Linked DNA regions of Oryzias latipes. Each later gene encodes a partner of the first gene's protein in a complex. Links are inferred from orthologs where the notes say so. Each region holds a gene or a part of one and is shown in the gene's direction. Other genes may lie near its edges.

Evidence for each region. Proteins that work in one complex are often made in the same cells at the same time.
Region 2: ing3 (region 1) and acidic leucine-rich nuclear phosphoprotein 32 family member E share a complex: the UniProt entries of both Homo sapiens proteins name them as parts of the SWR1-like complex. The link is inferred for Oryzias latipes from reciprocal best matches to the Homo sapiens genes ING3 and ANP32E.

The regions. Positions count from the first base shown.
Region 1 is NC_019881.2:24,133,035-24,137,216, forward strand, and holds the start of ing3 (inhibitor of growth protein 3), read left to right. Parts: upstream 1-1,382; 5' UTR 1,383-1,474; coding exon 1,475-1,502; exon of another isoform or gene 1,503-1,559; coding exon of another isoform or gene 1,560-1,560; intron 1,561-1,643; coding exon 1,644-1,715; intron 1,716-2,664; coding exon 2,665-2,765; intron 2,766-2,842; coding exon 2,843-2,908; intron 2,909-3,166; coding exon 3,167-3,263; intron 3,264-3,330; coding exon 3,331-3,402; intron 3,403-3,488; coding exon 3,489-3,605; intron 3,606-3,688; coding exon 3,689-3,852; intron 3,853-3,935; coding exon 3,936-4,123; intron 4,124-4,182. UniProt on the Homo sapiens protein: Component of the NuA4 histone acetyltransferase (HAT) complex which is involved in transcriptional activation of select genes principally by acetylation of nucleosomal histones H4 and H2A.
Region 2 is NC_019874.2:32,438,297-32,442,280, forward strand, and holds the start of acidic leucine-rich nuclear phosphoprotein 32 family member E, read left to right. Parts: upstream 1-1,184; 5' UTR 1,185-1,282; coding exon 1,283-1,336; intron 1,337-2,627; coding exon 2,628-2,777; intron 2,778-2,961; coding exon 2,962-3,084; intron 3,085-3,152; coding exon 3,153-3,300; intron 3,301-3,455; coding exon 3,456-3,574; intron 3,575-3,659; coding exon 3,660-3,726; intron 3,727-3,984. UniProt on the Homo sapiens protein: Histone chaperone that specifically mediates the genome-wide removal of histone H2A.Z/H2AZ1 from the nucleosome: removes H2A.Z/H2AZ1 from its normal sites of deposition, especially from enhancer and insulator regions.

The DNA.
Region 1 (4,182 bases):
GAGTGTGGGCTAACATTATCCAATGAAGCACTAAAACCGTCAAAATTAAAGCACCATCTGGAAACCAAACATCCGAAGCTCATTGGAAAGCCAGTGGATTATTTCAAAAGAAAGGATGATGGGCTTCAGATGCAGAGGGGGTCCATCGTGTCACTGACTGGCGACGCTAAGTGTGCGTTAAAGGCCAGCTACCTCGTAGCCAGACGTGTGGCGCAGAGTAAGAAAGCGTTCACCATAGCGGAGGAACTGGTTCTGCCTGCCGCTGTGGACATGTGCCGTGAGATGATTGGTGAGGCTGCAGCAAAGAAGCTCAAGACCATCCCGCTGTCGAATGACATTGTGAGTCACCATATTGCTGACAGGGCCTCAGACATTGAGCAGCAGCTTCTGGGGAGAATAAGACAGAGCCCCTTTTTCTCTTTGCAGCTGGACCAGTCGACTGACGTCACAAATGCTGCGCTGCTGTTGGTTTTTGTTCGCTACCGGTGGGATAGCTCTTTGCAAGAAGACATTCTGTTTTGTGGAGAATTTCCAACTCGAGCTACAGCTGAGGAATGTTTCCGCTGCATGGATAACTACTTCACTGAGAATGGCCTTGACTGGCAGAACGGTGTTGGAGTGTGCTGTGATGGCGCAGCGTCAATGACTGGCAGGCATCGCGGTGTCATCAAGCAGATACTTGATCTTGCGCCAGAAGCTAAATGGACCCATTGTTTTCTCCACCGTGAAAACCTTGCAGCAAAAAAAATGTCTCCAGAGTTCCATGAGGTGATGGATGTCACTGTGAAAACCATCAACTTCATTCAAAGTAATGCTGTGAACTCCAGATGTTTTGCTCAACTTTGTGAGGGCATGGAAGCAGATCATGTCCAAGGCAAGGCAAGGCAAGTTTATTTGTATAGCACAATTCGTACACAAAGTAATTCAAGGTGCTTCACAAAACAGAAAAATGCATTAAAATCACAATACATCATAGAAATAATCAACATAAAATTTACTTTAAAAGAAAAGGAAGAAAAAAAAAAGATTTAAAAAGAAAGGAAGGAAAGAAAGGTGCAGATAGGCAAAACATAGATCGGTGATTTCCTTATGAAGTGATTTTTGGTTTATAGCAGCGTTTCTGTCCTGATATTTTCATCACAGACAAACAGACCCGTTGCTTAAGGTCTCAGCAGCTAAATAATCTCAGGCCAAGCCCACCTTCTGTTTATAATATTAGCGAAAATCTTAAGTAAAACATCTTTATTTGGTGCAAAGTCCAAAAGTATGCAAGTTAAACTACTATTCCCATGATGCATTTCCTTTAACAACAGGAAAAACCGCGCCCTCATTGTTGAACCAATCCGAAAGCCGCGTACGTCACGCAGGCGCAGTCTGACCTCATTTTTTTTCCAGTGTTTTTGTCAGCGAGGCAGCGCCATATTGGAAGAAGCCGTTTCTGTCCTAAAACGGCCAAAGCGCGAACTTTGCCACCATGCTGTACCTAGAAGATTACCTTGAGAGTGAGTACCGGACCGGGGCGTCGCGGCGGTACCGACTTCGGCCCGTTATGTGTGCACAGTGTGTGTCTATGTGTGGCCGCCGCGTGCATTTCCGTTAGCCTAGCTGCAGCGGATGCTAACGTGTTTTTCCTTTTCCGGCAGTGATCGAGCAGCTTCCCATGGACCTCCGCGATAGGTTCACGGAAATGCGGGAGATGGACCTGCAGGTGCAGAGTACGTATTTCCGCCAACCACCGGGCTCGGCTGGGACATCTGCCGCGGCACGGAGACTCGAACCGCCAGCGAGCGGTTAAAAAAGGCCAGATTACCGGAGCTAACACACCTGACATGTCCGTGAACCCGGTGACACCTCAGTCACGTCAACGGAACTTATCAACCTTTCAGCTCGTTTAATAATTCACTAAGTGAGGTTTTGTAGAGCTGCGTGCGCCACTTTACGCATATGTGGCTGAGATTCTGAAGCCCCTCCCCTTTTTGTCAGGCGGTCATGGTGATCAAAGCACATCCCTTCATTATCCGCCGCCTTTCATGTTGACGTCATGACCGCAGCTGCTGTTCAAACTTTTATCACATCAGTATTTGTTAGTTGAGGCACATTCAGTCACTCATTTATCGTTATCCTGATATCAAGCTGTGATAAATGTAACTTTAAATGTGCTCAAACAATCTTATGGCAGCTTGAAGGATTTAAGGAATCACATAAATCCATTAATGCATTTGACCAACCAGATGGAGCCCTTTGATGTAGGGGGGGGGGGGGGGGCATTCGGAGTGTAATTTAACGTACACTTTAAATTTAATTGAAGCTGTTGCAGTGAAATGGAAATGATCTATTTAGATAGTTTGCTATATGCATCACAACTTATATGGTCATTGCAATATTCATCAGTAATGTTGGAAATGGCGAGTTTTGCTCATCTCGTGCAGCCCTAGTTCAGTTGTAAAGTCCTCCAGGGTCATCTGTGACCCCTAGCTGTTGGAGGGTCAGAGTTAGGTGGACTGACCCCCCCCCCCCCAGTCTCAGATCTGACCTCTGATGCAGTTGCAGGTGGAAGAACTTTGGAGACAGTAAGAGAGTTCTTCTAGGTTCCTGTCTGATCCAGAACCAGCACCAGAAAGCTGATGTCATGTGCTTTAGTTCTTTCCCGCCTCTTTGTTTCAGACGCCACAGACCAGCTGGAGCAGAGGGTCATTGATTTCTTCATCAATGCAAAGAAGAACAAACCTGAGTGGAGAGAGGAGCAAATGGAGGTTATCAAGAAGGTCTGGAATCTGCTGCTGGTTCTGGAGGAACCCGAAGGAACCTGTCAGATCTAGATTCTGTTTCTGGTGTGTTTCAGGATTATTACAAGGCCCTGGAGGACGCAGATGAGAAAGTACAGCTGGCCAATCAGATTTATGATCTGGTGAGTGGAACCGTCTGCCGCTCTGACCGGATGGTCTCTGACCTCCTGCACAGTGACGGTCCAGCTGGGTTTGCCGGATCGCCTGGAGGTTCCACCGTAGCAGGACGGAGTTCCCTGACAGTTTTGTCTGTCCCTAACACCACTGGGGAGGAGCTTTCCTCCCTCATCACCAACAGACGCCCCGCAGCAGCTGGACCGGGTCTACCTGCTGCACCGCGTCCAGAAGCTCATGTGACCTGTTGTCTCCTCTGCCTCCAGGTGGACCGGCACCTGCGGAAACTGGACCAGGAGCTGGCCAAGTTCAAAATGGAGCTGGAGGCAGACAATGCCGGCATCACAGAGATCCTGGAGAGACGTGAGTTCGATTCCAGAGCGACTCGTTGGGGCTGAAAGGCAGAGCGGTGACCTTGTGCTCTTCTCAGGGTCACTGGAGATGGACAGTCCCTCCCAGCCGGTCAACAACCATCACATGCACTCGCACATAACAGCCGAGAGTAAGCTGCTGCACGCCCTCAGCTCCGCCTCGTGATGTCAGGACCTCTGCAGCAGGTTCACGTGTCACCGTGTCCTCTGTCCACAGAGAGGAAGTGCAGCGCCCCCGCCCACCACACGGTGGAGCACATTCCTGAGAAGAAGTTCAAGTCTGAGGCTCTGCTGTCTACACTCACCTCGGATCCGTCCAAGGAGAACACGCCAGGTAGCATCTGCAGATAACAGCCATGCAGCTGGAGGGCGGAGCCTCCACGCAGCTAACTGCCCCCCCCCCCTCCTGCCCCCTAGGTTGCCGCACCAACAGCATGTCTGCATCCACCAACAGCGCCTACAGCCTCAACTCCTCTCAGCCCCTGGCTTCCTACAACCTGAGCGCTCTGCCCGCAGGACCCGGGGCCGGCGCCGGCGCCATCACCTTGGCGGCGGCGCAGGCCGTACAGGCCACAGCCCAGGTCAGAACCCGACCCCCATCCTAAAATCGTGCATGTCGGCCCCGCTGGTGGCGCTCCATCCCCCGTCTGTTCCGTCCCATCAGATGAAGGAAGGCCGCCGGACCTCCAGCCTCAAAGCCAGCTACGAGGCCATCAAGAACAACGACTTCCAGCTGGGCCGAGAGTTCTCCGTGTCCCGGGACGGCTCCTACTCCTCCTCCGCCCTGGCCTCCACCCTCACCCAGACGCTCACTCCCAGCACCACCTCTGACTCCAGAGGTCGGAAGTCAAAGTAAGTTACCCCCGTCCCACCGCAGGTGTCTCGGACCCGTCTGACCTCTAGTCCCTGTT
Region 2 (3,984 bases), on another chromosome or scaffold:
GGGGCTCTCTGCCAGCTCCCTGAAGTTCTCCTGGTCTCCCTGACCTTCCTGCAGGTCACGCAGAGCCTCCATCGTGGACTGAGCGGTCAGACTGAGCCCCCATTCTGTAAATATGAGACCGGTTTGTCCTTCTCACCTCCTCAGAACCTGCATGAAGAGTCCCGAAGCTCCACCCAGACAGGAAGTCTGAAGATGATGTAGTGACATCACTTCCTGTTGAACTACAACAATTTACTGTTAAATTGTTACAGTTTATTTATTGATGTCATTTCGGAACCAGAAGATCTCCACTGAGCATGCTCAGTTCCTTTTTAACTCCCTCAACGCTCTCTTGATGATCACCTTTTATCTAACTCCTCCCCATGAGTCATGACTCCTCCCCATGAGTCATGACTCCTCCCCATGAGTCATGACTCCTCCCCATTAGTCGTGACTCCTCCCCATGAGTTATGACTCCTCCCCATGAGTCATGACTCCTCCCCATTATTCGTGACTCCTCCCCATGAGTCATGACTCCTCCCCATGAGTCATGACTCCTCCCCATTATTCGTGACTCCTCCCCATGAGTTATGACTCCTCCCCATGAGTCATGACTCCTCCTCTCACATCTTTCTGGATGGTCTGAGCATTTGCGGTTCTGTTGGACCTGCACTGATGGTGTTGAAGTTTTCTGTCTCTCCTCATTGCTCTGGTTGGATTGGCCTTCGCTCAGAGCAGCCGGGTCCGACCAGAACCAAACCCTGAGTTTGCTGTTATTTATTTCTGGCTGTGATTTCAGGTGTACATGTTTGTTTTTTAAGAAAACAGAATAAAACGACTGTTCTGAAACTGAACTGGATCTGTTTATCCAGCCAACCAGAACCGGAGCAGGTGGCGGTCCGATTCATGATGTTTTAAGACAGCAATCCCCTCAAAGGTGATTGATGTTCTCCTGATGAGTTCACGTTCTGCTCTGTAGAATAGGAAATCCCAGATTGATCTCGTGTTTGGGATCCTCTGGTTTCTTAGATCAGCCTGTTTCTACAGAAAGGGGAGGAGCCTAAACATTTTAAAAAAGGGTCTATCTTCGCATTCTCATTGGTCAGTCCTGACGTTCAGACCAATCGCGGTCAAGAGTATTCAGTCGTACGCTGTGGGGGCGGAGCTTCAGACCGAACCAATCAGATCCCACGTGGATCCGGAGCCTTTGAAATGCGTGAGGAGGCGTGTTCGCGACAGAGGACTGAGCCGCGCGTGCGCGCCATCTCTTTTGTTTTGCTACTTTCTGTGCTCCTGCTTCATCATGGAGATGAAGAAGAGGATCAGCCTCGAGCTCCGAAACCGAAGTCCCACCGAGGTGCGTGAGAATCCCGCAGCCGCTCCTGTTTTCTGCGTTAGCGGTAAAGACGCGCGCGCGTGTTCCGTCGTCTTAGCGCGAGCTACACCCGCGCGGCTCTAGTAGCGGAGCTCTGTTTCCCGCCCGCTCCACGTGCGGGTTTCCTGTGTTCCGTGGAGAAGCCTCGAGGCAGCTCCAGCTAGCTAGCTAATGTGGAGAAAGAGCCGCGAGCCGGTTTGGGTCTGTTTCGGTCGGGTTCCGTTGACTGTGTGCAGCGGGGCGACTTCCCGCCGTAGGATGATCGCGGTTCCGATGACAGTGGTGATCCTGACGAACCGCAGTTCTGCTGAAATGCTTCGGCGCCGTTTTAGCTTGAAGCTCCAGCTCGGTGAGTCTGTTCGGACCACTTTCAATGCGCATGCGCAGTCCAGTCTCGGAGCTGGATTTTTTCGATGCACGGCTGGCTGTTGGGGACCCGGGTGGGTTCGGTCCATTTCAAACAGCCTTCTGGCGGAATATCGGGCAGACGTGAGCTGAACCTCAGCCACGGTCCGAGACCAGGACGCGGGGAATGGACGGTACCGGTGGTCCTCGGTCCGTCTGCCTTCATTCTTAAGCCGTGCAGAGGTCAGGTTCGAAATGGGAGGTCAGGTTCGGAATGGGGAGCACCAACACAGATTAGCTTCTATAGGTACCACTCATTTATGGGACTTACTTTACTATACATATTCTATATTGTGGTAAACATGAGTTCACATACAGAACCCTACAAACATCTGGGCTCTATGGACCTAAACACTGCAGTTGTTCCAAAGGTCCAGAGCTCGGTTCTGGTCCAGACCTGTTGCCTGTCATCAAACGTCTGCAGTTTCGCTAACGGCCTGCAGGGGGCGCGGGAACGCCGAGGCCGTCTGGTTTCCATCATGGTGACGTATGAAAGCGTCATGGTGGTAAAACTGCTGGTGTCACGTGACTGCGGACGGCGGGCGGATGAAAAGGAAGAATAAATATTCATCCAATCAGCTGTGGCGCTGTGGATGGAGCTCTGGGGAAGTGCTGCACATCTGATTGGCTACCATGATGGCATGGCGTTAAAACTCCAAACACGCCTGGTGGAGCGTTTCCACATACGTCTAGGCTCTGAAGCTCTCTGGAGCAGACACTAAGGGGATTGTGAAATCCACCAGGACCGGTTCTGGACCAGAGCCCGGCTGGTAGACGAGGCCTCCTGTCCTCAGAGTGAAGCGGCCGCTCTGCGGCGCCGAAGGTGGGGTGTTGGCTGCAGGTCTGCTCAGCTGCCGTCTGCTTCCAGGTGGGGGAGCTGGTGGTGGACAACTGCCGCTCCAGCGACGGCGAGGTGGAAGGTCTGTCAGAGGAGTTCACGGAGCTGGAGGTCCTCAGCATGGTGAACGTGGGCCTCAGCTCGCTGTCCAAGATGCCCCTGCTGCCCAAACTGCAGAAGGTGAGGAGACGTGGTCATGACCGCAGCCTCAGGAGGTCTGACCTTCCTCCCAAACGTCTAAACTGAATGAAGGACGTTGACCTCAGAATGATGCAAACCAAATGGTTCCAGGTTCAGGTTGGTCTGAACCGCTCAGCCTTCCCGCCTTTTACAGCAGAACTGAGACCCGACTGCTGTGTTTCAGCTGGAGGTCAGTGAGAACTCCATCGGTGGGGGGCTGAACACGCTGGTGGAGAAGTGTCCTGGCCTGACCCACCTCAACCTCAGCAGCAACAAGCTGAAGGAGCTGAGCAGCCTGGAGCCGCTGGTAAGTGGCGCCTTCCTCTGGTCCTCCCAGGAGGTCCGCTGCTCACGGCGATGTCATGTGACCTGCAGCAGAGCCTGAAGGCCCTGAAGAGTCTGGACCTGTACGGCTGCGACGTGTCCTCTCTGGACGACTACAGGGAGCGCGTCTTCCAGCTGCTGCCACAGCTCACCTACCTGGACGGGTTCGACCAGGAGGACAACGAGGCGTCCGACAACGGTGAGGCGCCATCCGTCACAGTCTGAAGGTCGAGGAACCCGCTCTGCTGGTTCTTCAGAATAATCATGAAGGTCTAAGACAAACCTAAAGTTCTTGTTTGGTTCCGTCTGAACTCACCTGATCCGTTTCCTGTCAACACACTGGTTCTTTTCTAGATGAGGAGGAGGAGGCAGGTCCTCCCGGAGATGATGATGAGGAGGACGAAGATGATGAAGAGCACGGCTCTGAAGAAGAGGAAGTGGGGCTTTCCTACCTGATGAAGGACGGCATCCAGGTGTGCCACTGATCCAGATGGGGAGGGGGAGGGGGGGGGCTCCTTGTGACTGAGCGCAGTCAGCAGCTTCCTGTTTCTGTTGAAGGACGAAGACGATGATGGAGATTATGTTGAGGAGGAAGAGGACGAAGAGGATGAAGATGAGGATGGAGGTGAGTCTGTTCTCCTCCCTCACATGGACAGACCCTCCTGAAGTGATGAGGGGGGGTCTGGTTGAGAACCCGGTTCTCCTGGACCTGTAGGCTGACGCCACAGGTCAAAGCAGAGGAGGAAAGAGGCTCCGCCTTTTCTGCAGAGATGACATCATTCTGTTGAACTACAAATGAAGGAGGATGGACTACAGACACGTCACTTCCTGCTGCGTCATGCTAACACCTGTTTGCAGAAAAAGGTTCAGATCTCCTGCTGTT